4 linked regions of the Lepisosteus oculatus genome follow. The protein of the gene in region 2 interacts with the protein of the main gene of each other region in a pairwise test. Links are inferred from orthologs where the notes say so. Each region holds a gene or a part of one and is shown on either strand. Other genes may lie near its edges.

Region 1 (7,600 bases), on a different chromosome or scaffold from region 2:
TGGTAAGCTGCTAAAAGCATCCATTCTTAATCATTGAGAAACCCAGTGTCAAAGTAAGGGTTATGTAGAAACGTTTGGGCTCCCCCAAAGAACAGCAGGAATCAAATGATAGTTTTGTTGCATTGTGGGCTTTTGTAACAGGGCATCAAAATAGAAGTGTTGCAGATGTTACCAATAACGTCAAACCAAGAATTGAAGGAGAGTCTGTGATGGCTCATTCCACTATTTTAAATGGGACATTTAAGACAGACTTTGGCCTTTAACCATGTACCAATTATCAAACCTTTTTTCTAAAAAAAAAACCTTTATCAGAGGGACTAATCTAACCGTATTCAGTTTCCCAGAATTTTGCTGGTAAGGAAATACTTTTAACAGTTTGAATGTCTGCACAAAGTGCATTTTAATGCCTGTTTTAAAATGTTTTACTAATCAAGCATGTATCGGTAGTAATCTTCAGGTTTCTTGTTTGTAAATTATATTACAGTGCCAACATATCAGAAATATTGGATGCCGCCTTTATTAATGCAAGGTGACCGATTTTGTAGTTGTACAGTCTTGTCTTTCAACCACTGCAGTAAGTGTATTTCTTGTACAAGTTCTATCACTGGTTGTTGTACCATATCTGACATTTGTAATTATGAAATAAAACACTGCCGTTTGTACAAAATAGCTTCCCTGTGCTTTATTTAAACAAAGCTATTTCAGTGGGTGCTTCAGCCAATTGAATTTTATTTGCTGTAATGCTATGATAGACTCAAGCTTTAAATTTGCTCATTTTGCTTCCCAGTAATTAACATGATTGACTACTTGGAGAACTGTTCTTGAATTTAACGTTTCACACAAGGGATGGCTTGTAACCCATGATGGTTACATAACCATCAGTTTAGAAAAAAATAATTTCTAGTTTCGAAATTGTACATTAGTTATTCTGTTTTGTGGAGTAAAATGTGTATCTTGCTGTGCAGCAGAGTGGGAATATCACAAACATGACCAATTCACTGTATGACAAAGCTGAAGGAAGATGCAGTTTTGTGGTAAAAATGAAATCACCTCATAGGCACACTGCTAACCCTTTTTGTGAGTCCAGCTTTTATCATTAGCTTTACAAAAATGATCTTTTCTCCTGTAAATGTAATGTACAATTCTTTTAACCAAAAAAAAAAATCTCTAAAAAACACTATTACAACACAAAAGGAAAAAAAAAAATGTTTGGATCCAGCAACAAGTAAAGATTCTTATTTTTTACAAGGTGTTTTATCAATATATATATAGGCAGCTCTCCCTAAGTGAGCATAAAGAGATTAATCCATCCATTTTCTAACACGTTTCTAACAACTGAGGGTCATGGTGGAGCCAGAGTCTACTGGTGAGCAACAGACACAAGGGAGGACACACCCTGGATGGGAAGGCAGTCCATCGCAGGGCCATAAAGTGATTAAAGCTGCCCAAAAATAAACAGCTGAATTTCAGATTTAGCTGAGAAAAATAAGGTAGTGTGTGAATTGTCTTTGGTGGTTTTAAAAAAGTATGAACTATCCTGGTGTCATGTACTGGTGAAAGGGCTAGTAAAATATATATTTTTGACAGTGCTGAAAACGGAAACATCTCTTGTTAAAATTACTTATAAATATTACATATTTAAAGAGGGGAAAGGGTTGCCTCTCACCCCTTCTATACATTCGGCTTGGCTGCCATTATACAATGATAGACCTTGTGCCTTGCAAATGTATTCAGACCCTTGCTCAGTTTACACAGTTGGATTTAAAGCTTACAATCATGACACTTTCAAGTAGAAATTCTTGTCTCTTATACAATCTGCTCCAAACACTAAAGCAAAAAAAGGAAAAAAACAGATAAATGAAAGAAAAATGGTAAAGTTATGATTGCAGAAATATCCCAACACTAGCTGTGGCAAACCTAAGTTAATTACCTTAACAAGACACAGAATTAGTTTAGTAGTCTCAGTGTGTATGTAATAAAAGCAGTTCACATGATTTTCAAATAATAGACCTGTCTCTGTAAGGTTCCTTGGTCAGGTAGTGAATGGATCATAAAACCGAGTATTTTTCTAAAGAACTCAGGAATAAATGTGTGTAAAGTAAAAGATTGGGAGATAGGTATAAAAACATATCAAAGACCCTTAATATCTCTTTGAGGATCGTGAAGTTGATCATTAAGAAGTAGGAGGCACCCAGACACTGCCTAGATCAGGCTGTACCTCCAAACTGGAAAAGGAAAAAAATAGTTATGGATTCCAGAGTGAGGCCAACAGTGATTTTGAAAGAGCTTAGATCAGAGAAAATGTCCATGGGTCAACAATATCCCAGCCAGTCCACAAAGGGGCTTTGTATGGATCTTTTAATTTACATCTCCAATCTCACATGGGATTTCCAACAATGCACCTAAGGGACACTACAAATATACAGGACAATTGCAAAGCAGTGCATATAATGCAAACCCAACTGCAATACACAGTCAACACCATTCCCTGCGTCAAGCATGGTGGTGACAGTATTATGTTATGGGCCTGCTTCTCATAAGGAACTGAGAAGACTAATGGAAAATGAATGGACCAAAACAGAAGAAAACCTGTTTCAATCTCATAAAGACCTAAAACTGGGAGGAACATTAGCCTTTCAGCAGGAGAATGACCCAGAATGCAGGGCCAAAGTCTTAGGAATAAGAACGTTAATGGAATTGAGTGGCCAGTTCAGAATGTCAGTAAGCACAGTTGGTGGGGGCTAACCCAAAAAGAACTGCAGTTGTACTTGCTGTCAAAAGGTAGCCAAGAATAGCTGTAATTGCTGCCAATAGTTTCTACCAAATATTGAATTCATGCATCCTTGAACTGAGGTTACCCACATACCACCATATGATTCTCTTCACCAGGCAATTGTGGACCTTTCATCACAAACCACTCATGCTGTTTATGACCTAGATAAAAGAATACTGCTTTAATACTATAATGCTAATGCAAAAAAAAATCTGTTATTTACTGCAACATAATTTACCATTAGAACTTTTCTGTCTAAGCATTCAAATTTGAATACATTATCAATTTAAAATGTGTTGGATCATTTTATAATGTCAAGACCATAGGGGGCTGTGCGCTATACACATTTGCACCCCTAGCAAAGAACTGAAATCTGTGTTGGAAGGACTGAGTGTAAATGCTCGTCAATCGTTCTATAGCATATTATGTTTTCATAAATGTAAATAAATGCATTTGTTAATAATAAAGGCTTGTTGTGTTAAAGTTCACCTGGACTATATTACTGTCTTATTTTTGAGTCCCATCCAACAGGGGTAGGAATAGACGAGGTCTGGGTTCTTTTCTTGGCTGCAGGCTCTTTAGGTGTGTAAAAAGACTTAAAGGACGTTCCCTCTGTGGAAAGAATGTCACCTACAAATACTGCAATCAAACAGGTTTTTTTTAAAAAAACCTGAAGCATGCATTTGGAAAATTATACCAAACCACTGGAGTACGGGATGCTATTCAAAGCCCTGGCTAATAAATATGATTTCCCTGAACAGATAATCATACAGATACATTTTTTTACCAGATCTGCTAGGTAATTTGAAAAGAAGTGTACAGTGCCTTGCACAAGTAGTTAGACCCTTCCTGTGGTTTTCCATCCATTTTGTAACTGCTTTACCCAATTCAGGGTCACAGGGGAGCCAGAGCCTGTCCCACCAAGCAAAAGGTGTGAGGCATGATTCACCCTGGATGGGATACCAGTCCATTGCAGGGCAGACACAAACACCCCTACACTTAGGACCAGTTTTCCCAAAATCCAATTGATCTAATAGAATGTCTTTGGAATTATGGGAGCACCCAGAGAAAACCTGCATGAACATGGGGAGAACATATAAACTCCACACAGATAGCACCCCAGGTCTGGAATTGAACCCAGGGCCCCAGAGCTGTGAGGAGGCAATGCTAACCACAGCACTACCCTGTATAAAAAATGTTCCTATTAAACATATTAATTGATATATCAACTGACCACTGACATTTGCTGTATTGTGCCGTTTTCCCCCAAATGCATTTGAAAGTCCCTGCTACTTACTTTACCGTCCACAGGGACATCCCAGATATGTGATGCAACATGCCATTATTTCACTAGCTAGCCACCACTATCACAAATTCATCGAAATATCCAGATCATGGATCCAGAGTACTACACACGAGAGTCGAAGCTCTGCTTTTGTGGTTTTCAGTACACGTACCACAACATTTGTATGATAGGACAAAAGAGAAATTTCTCTTGACAGGACAGGAAGCTCATCTCCACACTTTACTGATTACCAATCTTCAAACTAATTACCATCAACATCAGATCAGAAACCTGTGGCCTTAAGGTCATGTTTTTTTGGGTAAAAAGAGGGATTTATTTTGCTGTTCAATAAAAATAATACGGTGACCAATCAGAAGGCAGCCTCCCAGCAAGAAAACTTCGTGGTACATTCAGCCTCTGAGCCGCTTTGGTAAGTAAACCCACGCCGCCCTCTTGCCGAGATGAAGACAGCCCCGGTCGTGTTATTGCTCTCCCGTCCTCTCAATCAAACACAAGCGGCTCCCGATCAGCCACTCACAGCGCGGCTCCCCCTCAAGCTGTCAGGGAATATACTTCCTTGCTAGGAGGGAGGCTGATGGGATGCATCAAAGATGGCTAACAAAATTGGATATAACAGCAACTAAGTCCCATTCATTTAAATGATAGATTTTTAAAAACCGTAACGAAATCCCCGTGACAGGTGGGGTGTCGCGGAGCCCAAACCCGTGGCTGGATTTAACACGCATGAAGCGCGTAGGCCGTTCCCTTCCTTAACGTCTTTGCGTTGCCCCGCTGTTTGTGTTATTTGTAAATATTATTCCTGTTAAAATGGCCACCATGGAGAAACTGATGAAGGCCTTCGAGTCTCTCAAGTCATTCCAGCAACAACAGGGACCACCATCGGCCGAAGAGCTAGTTCAGAAACAGTAAGTACAGAGCAAGCGAGGTGACGAGACCGGGCACTGAATGGCGGTGCCCTGGGTTGGTGGGCAGCGTAGCAGTGATTGAACAGTCGAGATCAAGTCATCGTAAATTACTTGGAGTTGTCCCTACGGGTGGTGTTTGCGGCGGTTGCGTACCCGATCGCTGTAGGTGCATCAATAATAAATGCACACAAACTCATCTGCCTTGGAAAGCTCTTTCGTTGTTGGTTTGTAAATACACGGAAAGATTAGCCAAACTCCCTACTACATCGTAAACAGCGAACGCAGTCGTACCTCTGGTTGCTCCTGGTGCAGATCCCAGGGAATCAAGTTAACTTAGAGTTTTCTTGTACAAAGATCTGTTTGAAAATCGATTTTTTTTATATACAGTATGTAGTTTTCGGGGCAGGGGTGGCTAGATAATGAAAGTCGGGCAGTTTGTGGTGTGGCGTAGGTGTCGGTGATAAGCACAAACAGGTACAGGAGCTGCGAATTTCAAAACACAGTATTGCAATGACACAGTTGTATTGATATATGTTAGTCATAATAGTTAAAAGATAAAAAAAACGTCTGTTAATTCAAGATTTAGGATAGATGGCACTTTGAAAACATTATCTGCTGTGCAATACTTCTTAAAAATACATTCTGTCAGTGAATATTTCCATAGTTTTTAAATTCCGCTCATGTTGTATATGCAGCACTATACGGTCCTATTTTGGTTTGTGCAGTGTATGAAAGCTACTGTTTCTGTAACATCGGTGCAAGACATGATACAGTTACAGTTTTTAAGTTTACCTGTAGCATGCTCTGCCAGGTCTATATCACTTTTGAAACCAGTTACGAGTGTCTCAGCCTCAGAAACTCTGCTGTATCAATGATGTCCTGTATAGATAAAATCTCTTAAATAAGTGATTGTACACGGTGCAAAACAACTCTACCACTCACCCCTAGCTCTTACACATGTAACCTACATAAAATTAATTCTCATTCCTCCATTTTCTAACTGCTTCATCCAATTCAGGGTTGAGGGGGAGCTGGAGCCTATCTCAGCAAGGTGCACAAGGTGGGGTATATTCTGGACAGGATGCCAGTCCATCACAGGACAGACATGCAGACATACTGACACTCACACCAGGGCCAATTTTCCCAGATGCCAATTAACCTACTGTGGTTGGAAACATGAGTACCCAGAGGAAACCCAGATGAACCAGGGGAGAACATATGAACTCTGTGCAGATAGACCCCCAGTTTTGAACCCAGGGCCCCAGTACTGCGAGGCAGCAATGCTAACCACTCTGCCATTGTGCCACCCACACAGATAACACTCCATGTCCGGAATTTAACTTTAACAATATAGATGTTGCATCAGTAGTCTGTGATTTCACGGGATTGGAATATGTTATCCTTCTTCACCGTACTGGAAACACTAAACAATGAAAGGTCTTGTGACTACTTTATTAAATCTGTGTAATCATCCATCTCGGAGATGTCATTCTCATTGAACAGGTTGCTACTGACCCCTAGATAACTAAGAATGTAGTGTTGTACATATACAGTGCAACAATCCACTACTACAGTAGTGTAGCAATGCAAGGCTTTTTGTGAAGGTGCAAAGTATTCACACAACTTCAACTTAGTCGTTGAATAGTATATTGAAGGAATGCATGGGATGTGGAATGCTTTGTGACATTATACAATCGAGTTCTTAAAGATAGTGACTGACAATTCAGTACATAGATCACAGAGCTCAGTTTGCTAGTAATTTCTTTGAGTTGCGTTTTGCTTTGTGATACTCAGTGCCACAAAGCATATACTGTACAGGTAAAACTCTGTGTTGTTACCTTTTAGTATGTAGAAAACAGCTAATATAATTTATAGGCTGTTCCTTTTTTCAGATACCTAAGTATGTTGTTTTATAGAGGCTATTCCAGTGCCTTCCAAAAGTATTGAGACCCTTGCACAGTTTTCACATTTTCTTGCTTTAAAGCTTGCAGTGACTTTAGTAGCAATTAATATTTGTTTAATATACAACCCACGCCCCGCCTTCAAAGCAAAGAAGAAGAAAGAGTTAATGGATAATATGAAAGAAAAACAGGAATAGTAATGACTGCATAAACATTCAAAACCATTGCCGTGGCAAATCTCAGTTAATCTAGGTGCACAAAATTACTTTAATGAGACAAACAATTAGTTGAGTGGCCATTGTCTAATGGTATGATATGAATAAATATAACTCGGTAAGGCCCCTCGATCAGGTAGTGAGATAGATAAGACTTTATTGATCCCAAAGGGAAAAGGAAGTGTTACAGCAGCCCATCCCAAGACAAGCAAAAACAGACATCAGAACAGATGAAAAATTAAAATACATACAGTAATATAAAATAAATGAAAACATTTCAGATACCCTAATATCTCTGAGCCTGGTGAGGTGGAAGGCCCCCAGACACTGTTCCTTCCAGTCGGAGGAACAAGGAAGAACAGAGTTAACCACGAGGCCAACAGTAACCTTTTCAGAGTTGCTGAGCTCTGTGGTCGAGATGGGAGGAAATGTCCAGGAGTCAACTATATCTTGGTCAGTCCACAGAGGAGGCTTGTGTGGAACCGAAAGAACACACCGTA
Region 2 (7,793 bases):
TATTGTTGGAAAGAGGGAAAAAATGTGTTTCTGCATGAAGAAAACACCAATAATACAGATATGAAAGCACAGATACGCTTTTGTATGTAATTTTCATTTAGCTCTCAATAGTTACCTTTAATTTACAGATGCTCATCTGTGAGCCAAGTTTCACATGGAGAAGAAAAATCTGACTTTGGCACTTTATTCTGTTTGCATCAGAAAAACCCAGCAGCTGCATTTTTCTCTAATTTTATTATAGGTCTCTAAATGTTCCGATGCAGGCCTGAAGGGTAAGGAGGCTACTGATTTGGCTTCAGGAAATCTGACAAATAAGAATGTTAGCCCTACAAGAATTTCCTGCTGTTGTTATGTGAGCCACCTGTCATTTAGACTTTGGCAGACTAGACTTTTCAGGGAAGCCTTTAGGCCAATGACAAAACAAAGGATGTCAAGAAAAGGACACAGAGGTGCCATGTTTGTTCAAGGTAAGAGAATTCAAATAAACAGAGTCATCAGCCCTGCAACAATGTACTGCTTTTGACTGAAGTATATACAAGTCTTGGGAAATTTCACAAAAATTGCAGGCGTGGTATTATGTTATTTTTTTAAAAACATTTTAATAACTCAAAACCCAAATTGGACACAAGAGCATATTTCAGTAGGCAGATTTGTTATAGCACATGCTTTTTAGTGCATATACTTTGATATGATTAGAAAAGGAAATGTGTTTCATTAGCAGCTGATTTACAAAACAACTCTCTGTCTTTGGCAAGGCTATAGGAATCCCATGTGAAAGGTACTGTAAGTTTGACATTAGAAGGAAAAGCAATAATTATTATAGTATAGTATTAAAATTCAGGCCATTGATGATTTCTAAAAGATCAGAAGATATTGCTCTGGATCCAAAGTCAACCCAAAACTATTTGCATACCAGAAATAAATTTAATTAAATCTTTCCCTTGTTTACATCTTAATTATAAAATTTATTTCTTCCAGAAAAGAGCCTTATTGAAGATAATTGAATTTTACGATTATTGCAGATTTATTCAGAATTCATAGAGGTGGAATATAAAAAACACTTAAATAGGACTCTCTATCAAATGCGTCCCCTTTTGTATAAATAAATGAACACCATCTCCAGTTAAAAGAAGTTTTGGGGTCACAAAGTCCCAATTTGTGGAAAAAGACCTGGAAATCTTCTTTCCTCAGCCACTTCCCTTCTAAACTACTATGGTTTATTTCTCTGGGCTGATCTGTTAAATAGTCGCCTTCAACTTTTCTGTGCCCAAGGTTAAATATATTTCTCCAGTTCCTGCCTCATGTCTGTCCAATAGCATCCTCGTTCCTGTGGGAGAGCAGGACTGCCAAATCGGTCTGGCTTTAGTTTTTGTAAATTAATTTCCTAGCTGTGGGTTTTTAGAAAAGGGGAAGCATGCATGTGTCAGGATCCCCCCCCTCCCCCCGACACTGACCATTTATGTCTTACATTTTATTTCATCACCGTAAAAAAAGACAACCAGCAACAAACAGCAGATGACAACCCCACTTCAGGTGTCATTCTCACACAGTACCTCTTGCACATATCTCTTGTCCGTAAGTCTGTCAGTAAATCCTTAAGGAGCACACAATATAAATGAGCCCAAGCAAGAGCTTTGCGACAATTTTGGAAAGCAGTGTTGGATAGCTTTAGTCTTTCGTCTTGGATAGCTACTTGGAAACTAGGACATGCTAAAAAAATAACCCTGTCTTTAAAAAAAAGCTTCTTCCTTCCCATTTGTGTTAGCTAAAGACTTAGAATACACAGGAGAGGCAAAATAACATGGTTGTCTCAGCCTTTTCCCTCCTTTACAGTTTGTTTAGGAAATGCCTACAGATGTGTTCACTGCCCCTGTCTTCCCACACATTCTAAAGGAGGTAACCCTGATTGCAGTTTTCAAGGGCAGATAAACCAACTATTGACCAAGAATGACAATGTAGGGATGGAGTAAGGAGCAGATACATTCCTAATCCCATTTTAACAGACAGGCTTCAGGACAATGTACATTTAACAGTCACAAGTCAGAAGCTGACATGCATACAAAAAGACACAAATCAGAGGAAGCTGCAGGTTTGACATATACAGTACAAATTATTTACAGGGTAGTGTGCCCATGTTCACTGGAAAAATCTTTCTCCGCCATCATACAGAGCTGCAATTACACCTGTCTACCTGTCAGGTCACCTGTCAGTGAGTCTGTAGCATACCAAATCTAGGAAAATTACAATAATCCCTTGGGCCCTATCTCACAGGTGGAATGAAAAGCATCTCTCCTCCTACCAGATAAACACACACAAATTCCCATGCAGGACACAGGCAAGCCACACCAAACCTGCTAAAAAGATGAACAGGGGGAGGGAAAGACAACTCGCCTGCAGCCCTGGGATTTCTCTTCCTCCTGAGAAAAGTCTTCATCATCTCCAGGGTCGTCCTCGGCCCCCTCCCCCCCTTCTCCCTCCCCTCCTCGAACTGCAGACCAGGTCCACTTTGCCCACTGCACAGGCGACAGCATCTGCCACGGACTGAAAGACATCGTCCCTTGTTCTTCCTCTTCTTTGGGTGCTGCTACTGTGAACTCCGCAAGATGGAGGGGGGCAAACTCGCACAGGATCTGACAGCAAATGTGTTCTTTTTCTCTCTCTCGCTTTCTGACTAAAGCACGGATGTGGTTAAAACATCACAAGTCCCTCAACGACTGCCTCTGCCTTCACTTCCTCTAAAGGCATTCCCAGCAGCTTGTACTCTCATCACCAATGCTTCTCTTTTCCTCTAACTAGGCTAGAGCAGCCCTCCCCTGTTTGTTTTTTTTCCCTTCTCTCTCTCCTCAGTTTTGTAATCCCCTTTCACTCAGCTGAAAGCACTCTCTGAGAGCTCACAGCCTCCTCACTCCCTCTCACTCTACCTCTGAGCACTGAATGCCAAAGCAAAGATCAGCTGGCTGCCAGATAGTGCACACGTTCTCCAGCCCACAGACTGCCTGCCTCTAACTGCCCGCCTCCAACCCCCCCCCCCCCTCCACAGTTCTTTTTTCAGGGCCGTGCTATTGTCAAAGAACAGGGGGGAGTGGAAAGTTTCTTCTTTCAAAAGGCCAGCCGGTGTAATCGGCACACAAGCCAGGCATCCTTCTGCTGGGGATTGGCTGAAGCCAGCGCTGGAGGAGGAGAGAAGTGATGTCACTCTCACCAAGACTGGAAGCAAGTTTTTTTTTTCTTAAAAAAACAGAGAAGCTGAGGCTCGGCAAACCTTACAATTTCAAACAGGAGACTTGCTGACTGGAATGCCAAACAAGCTGGGTTGTCATGCTGCTGAAGTGGAGCTGCTTTTACAGTGAATCACAGGCTCCAAGGTTAAGTCATGATGTTTTCATTAGAAACCCAGTGAGTTTCCCACTCAACCCAGGCAGCCCTGGTTCTGCTGGCTTTCCAAGTAATAGAGACCCACTCCAAACGAAGGTAGGGATGGCAGGGAACACAAAGTTAGCCATCACATTCTGTACACACCCTAACACATGCACACACAATCATACTTATCTGACATGATCCAGTCTAGTTTTACAGCTTACTGTTAGCCGCAATCACCGTCTGTATTACAACTTATTTGCATACAGATCATTCATGGGCATTAAGAATATGTAAAACAGGATGAGTCACGCACTGTAGGTGTCCCAACAAGTGAGGCAGAATTCTCATCTGCATTAATGCTAAAATAATTCATCCTTTTAAACATGTACATTGTACTTGTAGTCATCTACAAATGCAGTGCGATGACATCAAAAGCCATATCTGCGTGAATAAACTGAGTTATAGACACACCCATCCCTTACATTTCACATGGAAAACAAAGGTTTCAATGAAAAAAACCATTCTAGAGTTCATATAGTACATAGCAGAACATACAGTATCACATACTGTATATCACATTTGAAATACAGTTTCCATATTGTCACTAACATAGCTGCATAGCTATAGTAGAGAAAAGGAATATTCTAATATTCCAAAAAGGGCATTTTGTAAGAAATATTTTGTCATGATTGAATAGGAATTCATCTGAATAGTTAAACTTGTTATTTCCAATGTTGTTACCTATACAGTGCAAGAAAAACTCCAAAGTATGATTTGATATAATACATCAATGCACAACTACTCTGAAAAACTACTTTAGTAGCTCATAATCAAACTCACAATAATACACATAATACTATTTTCTACAGGTGATGGAAATGAAGTCAAGTACCAACCCATCAGCTGCTGAGACATAGAACTGGGGTAATAATATATGTCTACCAAAAGGTCATAATTAACTTCAAACACACACTGTAATGCCCTTCTCCCTAATCCCTGGGAATCACAGTCATTGTTGTCAGATGCCTTATCCCCTGTAATTAAAGTCCTGTAAAAAATACTCCATTGAACTGCCTTGCTTTTTACACCACTGTGGAAGATGTCAATCATTCTGGGCTAACCAATCTCAATCTGCATTTAAACACTTCTACTGCAGGATATGGGATAATCATGTATTGCTGATGGACACTGAATTCAATGAATAGATTACCACATACTTAAGAAATGAGATCTGCAGTGTCTTTATAGCTGTGGCATCAAGGTGCATTTCTCTCACACTTCAATTCACCATCAGGCAGATGAGAGTCTGGATCTAACTAATTCAAATTCAATGAGCTTTATCGGCATGACCAATGAATTACAATGTTGTCAGAGCAATAACAATTAAAAAACACTTACATTGCAAACATTTATAACTAATGTCGGATACAAAGGTAGATAGTTTCAGATCACTCTACTGATAGTTCCAGTCCAATGCAGCGGCAAATTGAAATGACTTGCACCCAGAGTTAGGAGATTCTCTTGGGAGGTTCAATTAATAAAATTTGATATCAAATCTTAAACTGTAAGATGGGATAGAGAATTGCAGATAATTCAACCATGATGTTGTTCTTCTAATTAAAGATCAGTACATTAATTTGAAACAGCTAAGCATTGATCTATTTTGTAGTGAGGGCCTGCAGATCAAAGTGTAATTAACACCTTGATGAGTACAATAGGGGGCAGCAGTGACAAATCTTATGGCAGAATGGCTAATACATCAAGGTGTCCCAAGAACAACTAAGCCATTATTTAAACTACATCAACATAGCCCGAGATGGAGAGTAAGTTTATCTGAACTCTTGTATACACAGGAGAATGTGTAAATCACAATTTGATTTAAAAAGGAATCTAAGTCTAGATCTGACTTTAGCTTGTAATTACGTTATACTGTATGAGTTTTGTCTATTTTTTGTTTTTTTGTCTAATTTATTTCTAGACTTCTAGATGTCTAGTCTAATGTCTAGATTTTTATAAATCTTTTAGAAATCGTATTCTAACCTTTCTTATATAATGGTAAATGTTTATTATCATTACTAAGGGAGCAGCCCGAATTATTTCTACAGAAAAAAGTCTGCTTGTTTTATTTCCCATGATCTTAGTAAGCCAAGTCAAAATGGATACTGATCTACAACATTTCATGTACAACTTGTCAGCCCATTTGAAAATAGGCAAAACAGATATTTTTAGTTTTGCTGGAATTATACCTGCTTCAATTAATACTTATATTAATAATTATTAATAATTGCATGCACTTGTATAGCACTTTTCATCCCAAATGATCTCAAAGTACTTCACCAATGAAGTGCAGCTCCCATCTGAGTGATGTGACTTGTTGGTCTGTACTAAGAGTCCCACAACACATCGGATCCGGTGGAAAAGTACAAAAATACTTCATTGAGTGAATAAAAGAAGAATTTTAGGAAGGCCAGATTGTACAAGCTCAGCGTGGAATTAGCCACTGAGATAACACCCCTACTCTTATGAGAAAGAAACTAACAGTCAAGGCCTCAGTTTAATGTCTCATCCAAAGAACATCTCATCTTACATCTGACAGCACCCCTGTCACAGTAATGGGTGGATATTGGTGTGGATATTGTGGTCCAGAGGAGTCACCCACAGTATTAATCATTATCATATTTATATAGCCAAAGCCTCAGACATTACATTCTGCTAACAAGCAAAAAAAGTAAGAAAAATACTGTACCTGAAATAGTAAGAACTGAAACTGTTTAACCTCAATTGCACTGCTGCACACATGAATGAGTGTATTGTTCTGCACACTGTTGTCACTGGTGTCCATTAGGTTTGTCTGCACAAAACATTGACTCGTTTTTAAAGATACCTTGGCTCGCCTACAGGCAAGTCCACCTAAGGTGCAGATCCAGCATACCAATGTCACACATGTGTGCTTCTCTTGACAAGTGGAGTATGTTGGTTCAAGTACACAAGGGGAGGTGTCACATTTCAAACAACCAGAAAGAAATTCCCCAATGCAAGATACCAAATTAGTAAAAAAAACAACATACTATAAAAACCTTTAAAGACACTCAATTAAATGTCTTTGTTTCTGTATTTTCCCCTACATTTTCACTTTTTTTCTAAAACAAAATATCATATTCTGAATTTTATCATGAGAGCTTTATTTACTTTGCATCCATCTGTGTTTTTTGGCACAATTAAACCTTCTCAAGTCAGTGCTCCATCTCAAAATGCATTCTCAAGTGATCAAAGCAGTATTTAATGACTCATAGTACCTGGCTGAAGCTTTCTCAGGACTAAATCTGCTGCTCAGACACAAAGACAAGCTATTTACAAGCAAATACACACCACCTGAAAGCAAAATTACTTTCAGCTCATTAAACTTCAAATGGCTGCTTTGATCCCTGATTGTTTAGCACTGGATGCTTAAAACCACCATTCCGTATTAAAAAACAAGAAGAGTAAAAAATTCCTTAGTTTACTTTTCATTACGTTCAGATGAAAGCAACTTTGTTAGCCCATTTCTAATACCATTGAATTTATTTTTTAGGGCTGGTGTTCTTTATACATTAGTTAGATATTTGAACTGCACATTCAAAGCTCAAACTGTGAACCACCAAATCAGTAAAGAGATATCTACCAACTTTATTATTAATAACAATAACAATGAAAACAAAATAAGAAAAAAAAACTTTTTAATTGTATTTACCTGATATTCTCAAATGAAAAGAGTGGTTGAAATGTCTTTACATTATTAAAACATTATTATTGTGTTTTACAGTGTTTTACAGTATTTGGATTAACAATAATGTGACTTATTCAGACTCTGCTGTACTTTTTTCAGAAGAGTGTCCGACCACATTTCTGAATGTGTTTCAAATGAGACACATATTCCTAGGAATTACATAATCCCAGTTAGCCAGTCAACAAAGCTTTATCATAGTGCAAGATGCCTTTTTGTTTTTCTTTGCTAGCAAAAAGGTTGTACTAAGGTTGCACCATAGGAATTCCAGGAATTTCAAGTGTCTCAATAGGAGCGCTTCAGGCAAAACGGGCATTAATATTTAGGTGAGAGGGAAGCGATAACCTTTCAAAAGCAAGGGACACAGAGCTTTTTATTCTCAGGAGGCCCCCGTCCTTGAGCTGTGATTAAAGTTAACTGATCTCATAAAAATGGATCAGTGTCTCATGGATTTATGGAATAATAATAAGGGAAGGAACAGGAGGACAGAGAGTGAGAGGCCAAGCCCTTTCATTCTCTACACATGAGTGAGCTTCATTTAATGGAGTGTACAGAGCTGCAAAACGCTAGGTTTTAAAAATGAAAAGGACAGCAGCAGTCGCAAGATAGATTGTTATGTGCACTACATTTTAATATGGTATAAATAAGCTTTAATGGTGATCTGTATTGT
Region 3 (7,091 bases), on a different chromosome or scaffold from region 2:
ATATAAATGCAAATGAATTATTTACCAGCTAATAAGAGTGTGCTTTGATTTCCTTCCAAAGTCCAAAAGAACTACTAGTAGATCCTCAGAAAATTAGCCCTGGTGTGAGTGTGTGTGTCTGTTTGTGCCCTGTGATGGACTGGAATCTTGTCTGGGGTGTATCCTGCTTTGTGCCAACTGTTTGTCAGGATAGGCTCCAGCTCCCCTGTGACCCTGTATTGGACAAAGCGGTTGGAAAACGGGTGGATGGACAGGAAGAGAGGGATAATCAGTGCCCAGCTGGCCACTCACCAGCCTGTCTTTGCTGACGATGAGCAGCCCCTTGGCCCCGTTGATCTGAGCCAGCCTGACCTTCTCATAGAAAGTGCAGTTCCCCCTAAGCACCATGGGAATGCGGTTGGGGAACCCACCTGCGGGCACCTCTGACGGGGAGCACAGCACAGAAGCAGTCAGGTCATGGATCTGGAGCCGGGACTGAAGAGTTTGAGAGCGACAGAAGAAAGTGGGAAAGAAGACTCCTTTATATTTGCCCAGAAGACCAACTTCAAGAGACACACAACAGCAAGGATTTTTTTCTTTTGAAAATGCTTGTCTTACGCTCACACATGAGGTGATCCTTTACGGAGCTCAGTAAAGTCTTGCACTCAGCTGGATGGGTGTGGCCCCACTGAAAAAACACTTTTTGTTCTCTTAGCATTCTGCCCTGGAAGCTGGAATTGTAGCACTTGTTTAAACAGGGCAAAACAAACAGTTCAGAGACACCTGGGCCCAGCAGTGCTATTAAACTAGAGTTCCTGTTTTTTTAGGCTGTAGACACAGTCCCTGCACTGGGGCAGGGCAGTGTGAGCCGCCGAGACAGGTAGCGTCCACAGACATGCTCTCACGCTCACACGACAGATGGGATCCTCATGTTACTGGGAGAGCAGTCTCTACCCCAAAGCCTTCAGGGATACTGCTGCTGCACAGTCTGGTACCTTTTCACCAGGCAAAAGCAGCCCCTGACAGGGTCTGAACCTGAGACACGGCTCTTGTGCCATTTTACCTTTTCATTAAAATTAATAATTCCCAAAAAAAAGGATTTGGCTGGGACTCGTTAGCATCACTGCAGTCTGGCCGGGGCTAGAAATTGCACAGAATCCATGAGAGACAGAACTCCCTTGCTAGCAGGGCTGTGCACCTTTCTCAGGTCAGTCAGCTCGGACTCCATCAGAGCACTGATCGGCATTTCACAAGGGTGAGTTCGAACCACTGCCTGCTTGCACACCCTGCACGCAGTTCAAAGGTGCCTGTGTAATTCCACCCATGTTGCCCAAAGACAAAGAAACTATAAAGCTTCCCAGAGGCGGGGGTCATTTATTTGCAGCAAAGTGTCTGCCTACCTATTAGTTGTAAGACGATATGTGTTTACCAGCATTGAACCACTTGAAACAATCACAGGCATGCAAACGAGCTTAACACTGAAGGAAGTGTGTGCCATTCTGTCCGAGTGGAGCTTGCACATTCCCCGACGTTTGTTGTGGTTTGTTTCCATGCAGAGGCGGTCTGACTGGGCTGATTCAACACGTGTGGCCCTGGGGGTCAACCCCTGGTGCCCGTGAGGAAAACCTCACCTCTGCGCCCCGCCCCTTCGAGGAGCAGCTGCAATACGGTCTGCACGGAGAGCAGGGTCGCGACAGGGGGGCCGCAGGCTGGGCGGCTGCAGAATTCCTGGACTCTACTCACCGCCTTGTTGAGATCCTGAGGTAGGTGTGCCCACTGGGAGTTGAACAGGATGCAGTAGTCCTTCCCTTTACTCTTCCCTCTCTCACTGACGTGCGCCATGCCATACTCCCCCAGCACCTGTGGCAACAACACTCGTAATCAGGTGCGTTTCCCAATGCATATTTGAATACTTCTGGGCCTTTTACTTGACTCTCCCCTCCCTAGGTGCCATGGCAGTAACTGTTCAGAAGGCACCAAGAGAACTAAGCACAGCAGCCCCGTTTTAGGAAGGTAGAGTGATGCAGTGGTTATTATTGCTGGGGTTCAATGCCAGATCTCGGGTGCCGTCTGTGTGGAGTTTGCATGCTCTTCCCACGTTTGCGTGGGTTTCCTCCAGGTGCTCCAGTTTCTTCTTACAGTCCACTGACATGGTGGGTTAACTGTCTTCTGGGAAATCTGGCCCCGTTGTGAGTGTGTGTGAGTGTGTGTGTGTGTCTGTCTGCCCTGTCATAGACTAGCATCCTGTGCAGGGTGTATCCTGCCTGGTGCCTGTTGCTTGCTGGGATAGGTTCCAGCTCCCCAGCGTCCCTGTACTGGATAAAGCAGTTAGAAAATTGATGGGTCTCAGTCATCCTGGGGCTGTGGGTGACTGCGGGGATCCCTACTGAAACAGTGTGGATAGATGCCTTTTCCCATTACCTACATGGAAAAGAGTATTCATGTTAAGCAACAACAAAACACTCACACTACTGCTCACAGTTATTACCCCGTATGACAAGTGAGTGGACGCCATTCGGTTCATCTGAATTTGGTTGTTAATGGCTAACTTATTCAAAGACCCTCTCCCAGGTGTTGCTAATTCAGGGTACCTCTTCAGCAACAAGGGTGCCAGCTTGCCTCCCCACAAGCCTTTGTGTAAAGAGGAGTCCCCCTGGTCACAGTTTTAAATGCACTGTCCTGTAGTTTCTCTTTGTATCCTCTTCTGAAGAAGGACGTTACTTTGACTCTGTCAGTGATTTTGAGGATTTTGTCTATTTTTTTTTGGTCTGTCCCACAGCTCTTCGGTAATGAGGATTACTGTTCTGGGTACTGTATCCTATTGAATCAGTGTTCTGGGCGATACTCTGGCGATGTTTAGTCTCAGACGACCAACTCATGTACTTAAAAAAAATAATTCGCCCAGCAATAAAGTCTCTAATACCAACGTCTCATGGGATAGCTGAAAAACTAAATAGTCCATCGTTTTAAATTTCCAGGTTTCGGCGCTTTGAATGAATTCACAGGTCAGTGCGCCTCCCATCGCGATTTCTTTATAAACATTAAAATGGTCACTTTTCTTGGTTCCTTTTCTAGGACAACGCTAATAGCATGTTCGCTACATATTGATGTTAATTTTGTTTTTTTTAACAGCCATTTTCAGTTCGGTTAACCACAAGGTTACAATCAAAATGCGGACGGTTTCTTTCTAACAAGGAAAAAAAAGGAGCCGGTAACCACTGGAATTGAACTGCAGACTGCATATTGGCCGCTGTTTTGTGAATTAAACGTTCTTGTAGGGGGTTTTAACATGTTTACCCTCGTCTTCATCTGGATCTAACGCGCAGTAAAGAAAAATCTTCTTTTTTTCCCCCGGAACAGTGCTCAGCTCAGGTCCAGCTGATCCACATCTATCAACAGCAGCAGAGGTAACTGTTGTAGATGTTAGTTTATAGGAGAAGGAACCCAAAAACGTATTACATCGAGGAATTCTAGGTTCTGTACAAAGGAAGTATATACATTGAGGAGCTGAATGTAAAAATAATAATTATAAGAAGTGAAGCATCGCTTTTTTACACTCGCTTATCCATCAGAAGACTCATTACATGGGCCCATTAATTATAATAGCTACCAACCAGAATATCGCCCCCTTAGGTCGGATTTCAGCTATTTACTTAAAATCGTTAACGCTCGAAAGCCCTGCTTAATGCAATATGTACTACAGCGAATAGGAGATATTCAGTATCTCACCTGTTTTACCAATATAGCTCCGAAAATCAGAGCACTCAGGTCCCTCATGATGTCTGGCTGTTATTATGGTTTATCCCCGTCATAAGCCCAGTCCACCATCAGCTGTTTTGGAAGCTCCCGCCCTCGCCATACCGCAGCGCGACTTCATTGGGTCATTTCTGTTATGCTTACTCTCGGTCCGCAACACTATTGGTCAATAGTTCCATCAATCAAAAAGAAGCTCCCGCATAAAAAACGTAATTTGCTACTATCCCTGTCAATCAAACGTACCACTTCCTCGGGACGAGTCCACAATTTACCGCAAGGACTCTATGGTAGTGAATTCCATGCCTTGTTTCAAAAACTGAAGCTTATTTAGTTAAAGGGATATTTCTTACGTTACTATTTTAGTGTTTACGTGTACAGGTGTACGTTTGTTAGGAAACATTATGTAAAGAATAGTTCCTGAAACATGGAGTTTCCCCCAATCAAAGAGGTCAAAGTTTAAAGGTCGAAGGGAGGAGCTCACCCAATTGAAAGATGGCGGTGAGTATCGGTGAATGGTTTTCGTGTATGATTTGTGTAATATATGGTTATTTGTTCGGTATAGTCTCTAATTTCCACTGAAACTGTAAATTATTAAATCTAGTTTTTGTTTGTCTCTTTTAATGGTGAGGGGTATAGAAAGTTAGGCATTTTAAACATTAGAATTCCATTGTGTAAAAGAACCATTTTAATTTTACCGGCTTCGTTTGACTGGTACTAACAAAATGTTTCTTTTCAAACGTTTTTTTAATGTAAAGTTATTGTAGACAACAGAAAAAACGATTTTATTCCTAGCTTTCCGAGTCTTAAGCCCTTGGATGTCCGACTGTTTAGCAAAGTTAACTGAAACGCTGGCGAGCTAGATCCCTGCGCCTGTACATATTTTTCTGGAGGTATACAGAGCATGTTTTCACCTGCAGGAAAACCTGTGTTTGGCGTTGCATGAGTTGAATTCGTTTATTAGTCAGAGAGCAGTAACCAGGCCTCCAAAATAATGATTTTATTTAGAGAAAAATTGTCCATATCGTAAATAAAGCACGGTGAATGTCTTGATTAGCCGTTATTACTTCGTGGGCCGCTGTTCCGGGAATAACGAAGAACGATACAGTTAAAAAGACTTGTACTGTTCCGTTTAAAATACACGATGAGCAGTGGTTGGTCCGAAATGTGTGTATTGTCTCCCCAAAGTAGCCCTGAACTGTCCCTTTTTAACCCCACCTGTTAAAAACGTTAATGGTTTCAGGATAAAGAGAAGAAGAAGAAGGAGAGCATATTTGATTTGTCAAAGTACATCGACAAGACCATCCGTGTGAAGTTCCAGGGTGGACGAGAAGGTATGTTATAGGAAACTGTGTGTTTGTGTGGGCCTTTCTTCTTCATGCAAGAGTTCCTCCCAAACTCTGCAGTGCTCTTCTAGGTAGTGAATGAGCAGGTGGACCTGCTGGTCGTCTCCTCTCGGCTCTCCTTTGTCGAGTGGATCGACTGCAGAACGACTCACGGAGCCTTTTGCTTTTCTCTCTGGCAGCCAGTGGCATCCTGAAAGGGTTCGATCCGCTCTTGAACCTGGTATTGGACGGCACTATAGAGTACATGAGAGGTAGGTGCCAGTGCCTGAAGGCATAGTTCTTAAATTAAGGTCCAAAACCCCCTGCAGCTCTTAGCTTTGGTCTTTACCAGTCACAGCCTCCTAATAAGCCCCATCTCTGAACTGGCTTCATCACTCTGTTCTCCTCCCCACTGAGAGCTGGTGTGTGGGGAGCGGACTGGCGCACTCTGGCTGCCATTGCATTATCCAGGTGGGGCTGCACACTGGGGGTGGTGGAGGGGATCCCGATTACCTGTAAAGTGCTTTGATTGGAGTGTCCAGAAAATCGCTATATAAGTGTAAGGGATTATTATTTTTGTTATTTTGTTATTTGTTGTTGTTATTCAAGTTTTGAGGCATATGGGTTTTGTACAGACCTACAGGCTGGCAGTCTCAGAGGCAGCAGAATGCTGTGCTATAAATCCCTACAGAGGGAGTTCCATCTGGTCAACTGCCTGGGTACGATGGCTTATGCCCAGGCAGACACTGTGCATGACTTGTGCTGGCGAGGCTCAGTCTGCCCTTACCCCTCCTTTGTTCCGTGTCGTCTGCAGACCCCGATGATCAGTACAAGCTGACGGAGGACACCAGGCAGCTGGGATTGGTGGTGTGCCGGGGAACATCTGTGGTCCTCATTTGCCCCCAAGACGGCATGGAGGCCATTCCCAATCCTTTCATCCAGCAGCAGGACGGCTAGAGGGGTACCCTGCTCCCCTTTCCTCTCCAATACCTGTGCACAAACCTTTCTGTACCCCCAAAGCGACATCATTGTTGTGGCCTCAGGAGAAGTAGTTAAAGCTTGCAAGTTTCCATGCAGTCTCTTAAACACCCTGCAGGTGGTGGTTACCCCCGGTCTTTTCCTGATCTCGTCTATCTCCCTCTGATAAAATGTCATCTCTCTGTACCAGGGATTCCCAATCCTAGTGCTGGTGTGTCCAGTGTCTTCTGACATTTCATCAATTTGGGCTTGCTGCTTCTTAATGGATCCCTTATCTAGGCTAGTTATTAGATGGATTATAGAGCATTTGTGCATAATTATGACACTGGAGATCTAATGCTAATTACATTTTCTTAACTTCTAATTGGAACATCTTGGCAACTTAAAATTAGCAAATGTAGTCCATTTAAGGGTTTAAGTAGAAAACCGGAGAAGAAACTATTGGAGACGGGTCACCAAGATTGAGATTTGGAAGCCCAGGTCTGAGCTTCTCTGAAACCTTGTGTTAAGGCTTTGTGCACTAGAAGACACGGTGAAGAGGGGAATGTGTGATCAGATGACAGAATCATGCTTTTCTGTGACTGCTGAATAATGTTTCAAATGTTGCTCTTCGGTGACTCCTATGGCAATCTTCAGTTTTCCTTTTTTTAATTTACAAATGAAATTGGAGCCTGCATGGCGATGGATGGAGATGGGGAAAGGAGGGTGTCGCAGATAAATGTAAATAAACCAACTAGTTTACATGCTTATTTTTATTTGGTTCATAAGTGCAGAGAGAAACGCCACTCTTCTGAATGCACTTACTTTTGTTTTTGTTATTTTCAGTGTGGTGAACAGTTATTCGGAGAGATTTCACTTGTGTTGTCTGTACTTGGGATATGTTGACAACAGCCTGTGGGGTTAATTGATTTTCTGATTTGAAAACTTTAAGATGTACATTGTACAGACTTTAAAAACACATTCTCTTTTTTTAATCGATACACCGGAGTGTGCTTGGTTTGATGTTTTTTAGCCGTTTAAGTTTATTTTAATGCTCTAAGATGAAACAGGGCTGTT
Region 4 (7,761 bases), about 6.3 Mb from region 2:
TCTGATTCGGCTCTTAGATCAGGGGAGTCAACTCGCCCCCTGCAGGGCCAGTGTCTTCTGGTTCGTGTTCTTCCACCCACAGCTGTCTGAATCCTCCAATATTAAACTGCAGGGTGGAAACACCTCTAACCAGCCTCTGAGGTCATTCGAACGTAACCCTACCTTTGTGAAAGGTACGAGTGAACAATACTAAAAGGCAGTTAGAAAATTCTTAGGAATGTCCAGGAAAATAATGAACTTGTTTAATTGACTATTCAGATTGGAACAGAAACCAGAAGAGACTAAGCCCTCCAGGAATGGAGTTCGACACCCCTATTTTACATGTTTAACACGGGGCTATCCAATCTCAGTCCTGGAGAACTATGGGTTTTCAATCTGACTTGGACTGTAAACGTTTAATAGGAGGTCCTGATCCTGAGGGGTGTCTGCTGGTATTACAGGTCTTTTTAAAGCACCACCAAAAACTGGTTGCAACAGCTGTATAATTGCTCCAATTCAACCATTAATGAGCCATTTAGGATCACTAAGAGCCCAGGCAGACTGAAAACCCTCAAAGACACCAGCACCCCTGGACTCCTGGTTTAATAGAACTAGTTACTGGCTTAATCAATGTTAATGCAGCCTGCTGAATCTCAATTGAAGAGGTCTTTAAGTGGTGAAGAGCCACTGATTTATACATACCTATTTAAAATAAAAATACCTGCTGTTAACAAAAAACACAATTTTTTTGTATATATTTCAAGAATGATGATTAGTTCTTTTATAAATATTAAAGCATATGGTTTAATTTAAATGGTTTTAGCTTTCATAAATTCCAAGATAATTTTTGGATGTGAAACATTATGGCAGCAAAGGACACATTTTCCTCTAGGTCTATACTTGTGCACATCTGTAATCCCCATCATGGACGATGGTGATATTAGCAGTGCATGCAAAAACATCTTAGGAGAGGATGTTTTTAACCATTTTTCTCAATCTATCACTGGTACTCATCTTTGCAACCCTTAGCTTTTCATTAGCCCTCTCTGCATGCTAGATGTTTCACTGTTGTTAGTTAATAGTCAGAGCTTTTACTGGAAAAAGTCCTTCCTATCTCACCTTAGTGCAGTTTTGGGTCATCATAAAATGTAAGATGTGGATAATAAAAATGGGAACAATTTAAAGTCACTAATAGTGACCATGTGCAGCCTGTATGCATAGCATAGAGTCACTGGCACTGCCCAGAACTCTGCAGGAGGACTGAAGCACCACCCTTCCATGTGAAAGTCATACAACTAACACCTGGGTAATGGATCAATTCACTATTGGAACTGAGGACTGATGGCTGTAATCTTTTACAATGGCATCACACATGCACTTGTCAGTCGAGAACATGGTGAGGGACAGTTCATCAGACCATATCAAGTTTCTCCTGGGAGGGGTCCAAACACCTCAGTTCAGCAACTGAAACCCTACATACTCACATGACAACTTCTTGTCCATGAACCTGGACAAAAAGGAAAAAAAAAGTTGTTAGATTCAATACAAAAAAAAATGTTCTACAAAGTCTGTACATCATTCGACCTGTGGCATGTTATAGAAAACATGCTGGATTTATCATGTAAACCAACATGTGAAAAATGTTAGCTTATGCAGGAAACATAAGCTAACATTATTGACATATTTTCAAGACTTGTTTAATATAGACTGACCTGCTATCATTCCCTACTCTGACCGTATTTATAACGTTTGGGAGCATCCGTAAGTAAAAGTAACTGATATTCTGTGGAATTTAGCATTTGCTCATGTGTATGTGATTGTTGGTCATACATTCTGAAAGTAATGTCACAAATAATGGTTTAATTGTACACTTCTCAAGCTGTATTGTTTTAAATATTTTCCCTCCCAAGAAACAACACTACTGGACGTGTTTGCCTGTATTTAACAAAGCATTATCGCTTAAACCTCCACAAACCTTTAAAGGCATCGCTTCCAGATTCTGTTTTGGATTAAGCAAAGCAATGAACCTTAAAGGCGATCTTAAGAGGCTCAATAATATTTAAAAAAGATCACGTTTAGCTAGCTGCTATACATCTGTTATTCAGTGACCTATATAGCGTCCCCAACCTATGCAATGAAAATGTAAACAGGCTTTTCCACGCTCTCCTGCAATCTACAGCTTGGCGCGAGTTTTCATCTACCACCATAGAGTACTAAAGGTGCAAAACCGGAAGTCCGTCCATGATTTCTGCAACTGACAATTGTAGCTTGTTTAATATTACGTTTTAAAACCTTAAAACCAATTAAACCCATTACATTATTATTATTATTTTAGAGTTACTTTCTACGAGTCTCGCGCAAGTCAATCAGTTTTCGTGGGACTTTCTCGGTGCGCATAATCGTGGTTTGCAGAGGTAGCTTTCGTCACAGGTCGATCTTTCTAAAGCAAAAGTATACAAGCTTATACATTCACGACCTATCAGGATCGTTAACGCGGCATTTTTAATATTACGGGGTAAACAATCTAATCTCACGTTACAAACGCTTTAGAAAATACACAGTACCGAAAGCTGTGATGTATAACGCTGTGTGGACACTATTTTCGAAGCCAAACGTTACGATAACGTTTGCACTCGGTTCACGAAGCGAGGTCGGAAACGTATTAACAATTCTTTATGAGAAATATTAACGTCGTCTCCACGGTTGGAAACAGATCCAAATATCACGGAACTACAGGAGCCCTTCAGAATATTTTATCTAGTTTTAATGGCGAAACATTTCAAGTTTGTATCTCAGCCAAGTACAACCCCCCCCAAGATCCAACAACTACCGTGATAAAAACGAAAGACACAAATGACCCTACGAGACTAAAACAAGAAATACTTACTTCTTCAACTCGGGGGGGTGTGCTTTGCTCATGTTTACGTGTAGAAAGCTATAGTTTTATATCCGTTCAATAACAAGACCACTGCGCTCTCAGCGACTTCACCGCCAAACTCCACGCACGCTGCACCACAAAGGACGAACGCGTTACCATAAAAAAAGTCCGACCATACCTTCCGGCTCACATTATGCGTCATCAACAATCGCCCGAACACTGCCACTACTCCAACGCCGTTTAATTGAATATTCCCTTTCCATTTGCGCCTCCTCTCGGCAACCCAAGTTCACGCGCATTCTCTCCTGAAACTGGAAATACTATCCTGCAAACGAGCAAGAACACGATGGGTGCATTGATTGTAAAGATTTTCTTGACCGATAAATACCTGTTCATGCCGAACAGGCAACAAGCCTAATGAATAATTGGGCAGGCAATACTGCTATAAAAATCATATTATTTAAAAAGAGCTTTCCTAAAGACAGCAAGTGCCGCGCTGTAGCTTAACCGGTGGTCCAGTTAGGGCAAACTGTAGCAAGAGGTAGCAAATCTAGGTGCGGATGTAACAGAGTTCTCCAGATAGCACACTCTCACTGAAAGCTCAATAGAAGTGATTGATTATTGATTTCATAGAGATTGGAAAACCAGAAAGCATAATGAAAATAAAGAGAGTAGAAGTTACTGGCTAGCAATTTTTTGGCAGAACAAAGAAGGATGTTTATATGCTGCCCATAATTCTAAATATATTAACCAAGAATGAATGTTTGTACATCAGATCTTTAGGAAGGGTCAAAGGGCATGGGCAAGGACATTTTGTGAAAACTTCACTCTTTCAGGAGATATACCAGTTTGGCATATGAACTTTAGAAGAGGTCAGAGGTCACAGACAAGGATGTGTCTGAAAGCACATACTGTATGTGGGATTCCATAATAACTATGACACCTTCTAAAGACCTTTCAAACCTCACATTAACTAGGCTCTGTCAATTATTGTGCATAATGTTTTATGCAAAGTAGATTAATTGCTAATATTTTGGTATGTATAGAACTTGTTAATGAAGGTAGTTGTTAAATAAGTAATTACAGCACTGCATGGAAGATCTGAATTTCACACTGCAGCATACCAACACAAACCAGCACTCATACGCGTCTTCATTCCTCGCTGGCCAGCGGAGATTGGCCATTCTCTGGGCTTGGACAAGGGATCTCTGTGAAGGTGCTGGTGGTAAACAGCTCAACCATCTAGCAGTGAATGGATCTCAACTTCATTTAGTGACCTCCCCTTAAATGCAGACAACTAAATCCAGTGGTGTGGTGGGGCTTTAATAAACACAAGTAGAACACTGAACCCTTATCAGCAAGCTTCTCACTTGACCCTCTCCGATGGGGTTGTTCTAGAAATTATATGAATTTAACACTCTGCATAGAGAAATTCCACACATTCCTCTAGGGTTACAGTTATTAAACAACTAGTTACATATCTAGACACACAGCTGAAGAAGGATCCACAGATGAAACATTACTTTTTGTTACTGTTAAAAGTGGAACTATCCACTACTCATTCCTTATGGACACTCAAAGGGATTATATACTTTTAATGCTAACATGCATCGAACACACTCATGTGACACTGGCTTTCTGGTCTCGACCCCACCATGCCAATAGCTCTGAGCTCAGCTCATAGGGCTCAAATTGCAGTGACTTGTGTTCAGAGAGACTGTGAGGGTGGAAATAATAATCTTCACTCAGCAGCCACACGGTTCTGGTCACACCCTCCCAAATACAGACAAACAGGCACAATCCAAGCCTGAAGACAGACACACCGTCTCTCTTTTTAAGAGAATACAGAGAAAACTGATTTTATTCCCGATTTTGATTTGTTGCAATACAAAAAGGGAAACAGTGCTGTCAGCAGCAAATTCCACAGTGTGTAAAACTGAAGCCACAATTGCACCCCCTGCAGGAGGAGGTAGAGAGTTGTGCAGAAACTTGGCTCTAGTGGTTCACAGCTGCTCATGGTTTTCTCCTGACAAACGAAGAACACAGAGGTACCAATAAGATCCATTTCAAGTTTTACCATACTCCTTCTCTCCTTTCTACTTTAATTCCAGTCTGCAAAACATAGACAGACATGAATATACGAGAAAATGAAAACTGTCTAGATTTCATTTTCTATGTTTACTAGAGACGGCAGGTGGTAAAACCCGGACTGGATCAAACTGCTATGCACGGGGAGTCCCAAGTTTCATCCGCTTGTCTTCACGGTCTGACACAGCCAGGGTGTCCCACTCCACCTGTCCTCGGGAGGACAGGGGTCAGTCCGCCGGGCGGTCCGCGCCCTCTGTCTGTGCCGAAGGCCCGCGCCGCCGGCCAGTCCGTGTCCCCACTCCGTGCCTGCTGGCCTCGCTGTCGGCTGCAGGCCCAGATGGCCCCCGGGCCGGCTCCCAGCGCCCCCGTCCTCACTGCTTGATGGAGGCCAGGCTGTCCTTCAGCCGGCGCGTCACGCTGGGCAGCAGGCTCAGGTGCTCGTCCACACAGCCGCCCACGCAGCGCTCCAGCTGCCCGCGCACCGCCGCCTCCTTCGCGCCCGACTCGAACGCGTCCTTGGCCTTGTCGTTGCAGTGCATGGTGCAGCGGGCCAGCCGGTCCTGAGGCGGGACAGAGAGAGACAGAGCAGCTTTCAGCAGGACAGCTCAGAGCAGGAAGGGGTTTGCAACACCTGAAATTACACTCAGAAAAATGTGACCTCTCCTCACTACTTCCTGTACCCACAATGACAGTACTCCTACACCACTACACACACGACAACTGAATGTAAACTGGAATTGTACTTAAAACTGTACAAGTTGTACTATTAATAACCGTATTATTTTTGCACTGTTCACCGTTTTACTTTTGCACTGTTTTTGTCCTGTTTGTATACTTTTCTCTGCGTATTTGCACAGTTTTTGACAATTTTGCAATGGCACCATACTGTTGTTTACACTGTTATTGTATTTCTGTCTCTTGTCTTGTCTGCTGTTCTATTTATATACTGCACCTGAGAGACTCATGAGAAACACTTTTCACCATACTATGCACCCGTGTAAGTAGAATGACAAATAAAGTTGAATTATTATTCTGTTTAACATTAGCAAATACTACATAATGCAATGAAAGCCTTTGTTTTTGCAAAGCTTATTACAGTCTGTTGCACTGTGACAAAGCTGGACTCCTCAGTGCTCTTTTCTGCATTGCTCTACCTTCTGCAGACTTCATGACATTATTATATGATTAGAGATCAATGCAAGTTTCAGTCATGTGCGGTGCTCCATTAAAGAGTTCTGTCTCTCAGTTCCCTATATATTAAAAACTCCAGGCTGTGCGGTCAAGCCCGGGCTGTAGGGGGCAGCGCTGAGCGACCTCCACACCCACGTTGCCTCCTGGGAAAGTCTCACCTGGAACCTCTCCAGCTCGGTGGTGACCAGGCTCTGCGCCTGGGCCAGGGGGGCGTGGCAGCGCTCGATGCACTGGTGCACCTGGGTCATGGAGTCGCTGGCGCGCTCGCAGCACCGCGCGCTGCACTGGAACATGAGCCCCTGGGGAGGACAGGCAGCCAGAACGCGGGGCATCAAACACCACATGAAGCCCACGAGAGAAACGGACAACGGAGGATCTTTCTCCGAGCCCCCGTTTACCGTGACAGCACCCCACACTTCACACCGCATCCGAATGAAGTCGAATGAGACACTCCTAAGCCTCCCACAGTAATAAACACAGTTTTACAGGTAGTCTCAGTCAGGAAACGCAGACACTCCCGTGGTACTACAGGTTGAACAATTCCAGCTGTTACCAGCGGTAGAATCCTGTATCAATCCTGTCAGTCAAAGCTTAGGTCCTGTGATTGTTGTTTTATTCAGTTACGCAGTCAAAAGTATTTTTGAGTTAAAAGGAATTCTCCATTTCATTTCGCAGACAGGTTTGCGTTAATATAACTTTCTGTGCGTTCGGATGGGTTACGGGATAACGTGACTAGGGAAAAAAAAGGAGAGATCGGGCAGCAGGTGTAAATGTGACTGTTCAGAAATAAACCGTTTCCCTCCAGTTCCCATCACAGAGTTTTTAATCGCCCTCACACGAACCCTTCACTAACACCATCTGGCCCTGCGAATTTCACGTCTGCAACCTTCTGTGAAATCGCTTGAAGCAGAAGCAGACCAGAATTAACATGCCTGTATAAAAAACACCATCTTGTCAATCAGGGCACGAAGCTGCGAAACCCCCAAATGTATCAAAATGTTATGCAACGAGGGTCGCGTATTCTTTACGGGGAAATGCAGACACCAGTACTGTGTCCCGCGTCCCGTCAACCAGACACTCACTTGCATTTTACGGATGTGGTCGCGCTCCAGTCCCTGAACCATCTCGTCCACGGCAGACTGCATGCGAGCCTGTTGCGCTTCGGCCATCCTGACTCTCGGGCCGATCTGGACCGAACCGGGCTTGTTACACAAAGGTACACAAGTGATACTTTATAACAGTGCAACCGATGCTGGCCAATGCAGGTGCTAACTAACAAGGGCGTTTAAAGCACAAAGCGTGACTATGTTCTCATACAGCACCTAGTCGCTTACGTGAGCTAAGATGTCTTGAGGTCCTCGCTTGTAATATCTTGCAGCGCTGCCGCTAGCATGGCACATAAGGTCACCCCGACCGGCAGCATGGATTACAAAAAGATCACTTCCGCGCCTGTACTCCAAAGAGCGTTAAAGTGCCCCTGTCTGTGTCCTGGAACCCTTGTAGAATTGTATAGCGACACCACGAGGAAGGAGGAGAGATGTACAGTTCGAACGAAGCGATGTATGGCAAATAGCCCATTAAAGACGTCAGCAGTTTTAATTGGGGAAAAAATAATGTAAACTTTT

Evidence for each region.
Region 1: the proteins of tacc1 (region 2) and htt interact in binary tests that used the Homo sapiens proteins (3 or more experiments, as listed by UniProt). The link is inferred for Lepisosteus oculatus from reciprocal best matches to the Homo sapiens genes TACC1 and HTT.
Region 3: the proteins of tacc1 (region 2) and lsm7 interact in binary tests that used the Homo sapiens proteins (3 or more experiments, as listed by UniProt). The link is inferred for Lepisosteus oculatus from reciprocal best matches to the Homo sapiens genes TACC1 and LSM7.
Region 4: the proteins of tacc1 (region 2) and snrpg interact in binary tests that used the Homo sapiens proteins (3 or more experiments, as listed by UniProt). The link is inferred for Lepisosteus oculatus from reciprocal best matches to the Homo sapiens genes TACC1 and SNRPG.

The regions. Positions count from the first base shown.
Region 1 is NC_090696.1:40,626,018-40,633,617, forward strand, and holds the start of htt (huntingtin), read left to right. Parts: upstream 1-4,583; 5' UTR 4,584-4,886; coding exon 4,887-4,984; intron 4,985-7,600.
Region 2 is NC_090697.1:71,491,975-71,499,767, forward strand, and holds the start of tacc1 (transforming acidic coiled-coil-containing protein 1), read right to left. Parts: upstream 3,019-7,793; 5' UTR 2,553-3,018; coding exon 2,392-2,552; intron 1-2,391. UniProt on the Homo sapiens protein: Involved in transcription regulation induced by nuclear receptors, including in T3 thyroid hormone and all-trans retinoic acid pathways. Might promote the nuclear localization of the receptors.
Region 3 is NC_090724.1:6,313,229-6,320,319, forward strand, and holds lsm7 (U6 snRNA-associated Sm-like protein LSm7), read left to right. Parts: upstream 1-4,074; 5' UTR 4,075-4,227; coding exon 4,228-4,233; intron 4,234-4,975; coding exon 4,976-5,066; intron 5,067-5,257; coding exon 5,258-5,329; intron 5,330-5,871; coding exon 5,872-6,014; 3' UTR 6,015-6,697; downstream 6,698-7,091. Other genes in the region: sppl2 (signal peptide peptidase-like 2), read right to left, coding at 292-474, 1,723-1,839, 3,709-3,756. UniProt on the Homo sapiens protein: Plays a role in pre-mRNA splicing as component of the U4/U6-U5 tri-snRNP complex that is involved in spliceosome assembly, and as component of the precatalytic spliceosome (spliceosome B complex).
Region 4 is NC_090697.1:65,205,380-65,213,140, reverse strand, and holds the start of snrpg (small nuclear ribonucleoprotein G), read right to left. Parts: upstream 3,018-7,761; 5' UTR 2,899-3,017; coding exon 2,867-2,898; intron 1,487-2,866; coding exon 1,464-1,486; intron 1-1,463. Other genes in the region: protein FAM136A, read right to left, coding at 5,317-5,505, 6,295-6,435, 7,219-7,338, 7,471-7,536. UniProt on the Homo sapiens protein: Plays a role in pre-mRNA splicing as a core component of the spliceosomal U1, U2, U4 and U5 small nuclear ribonucleoproteins (snRNPs), the building blocks of the spliceosome.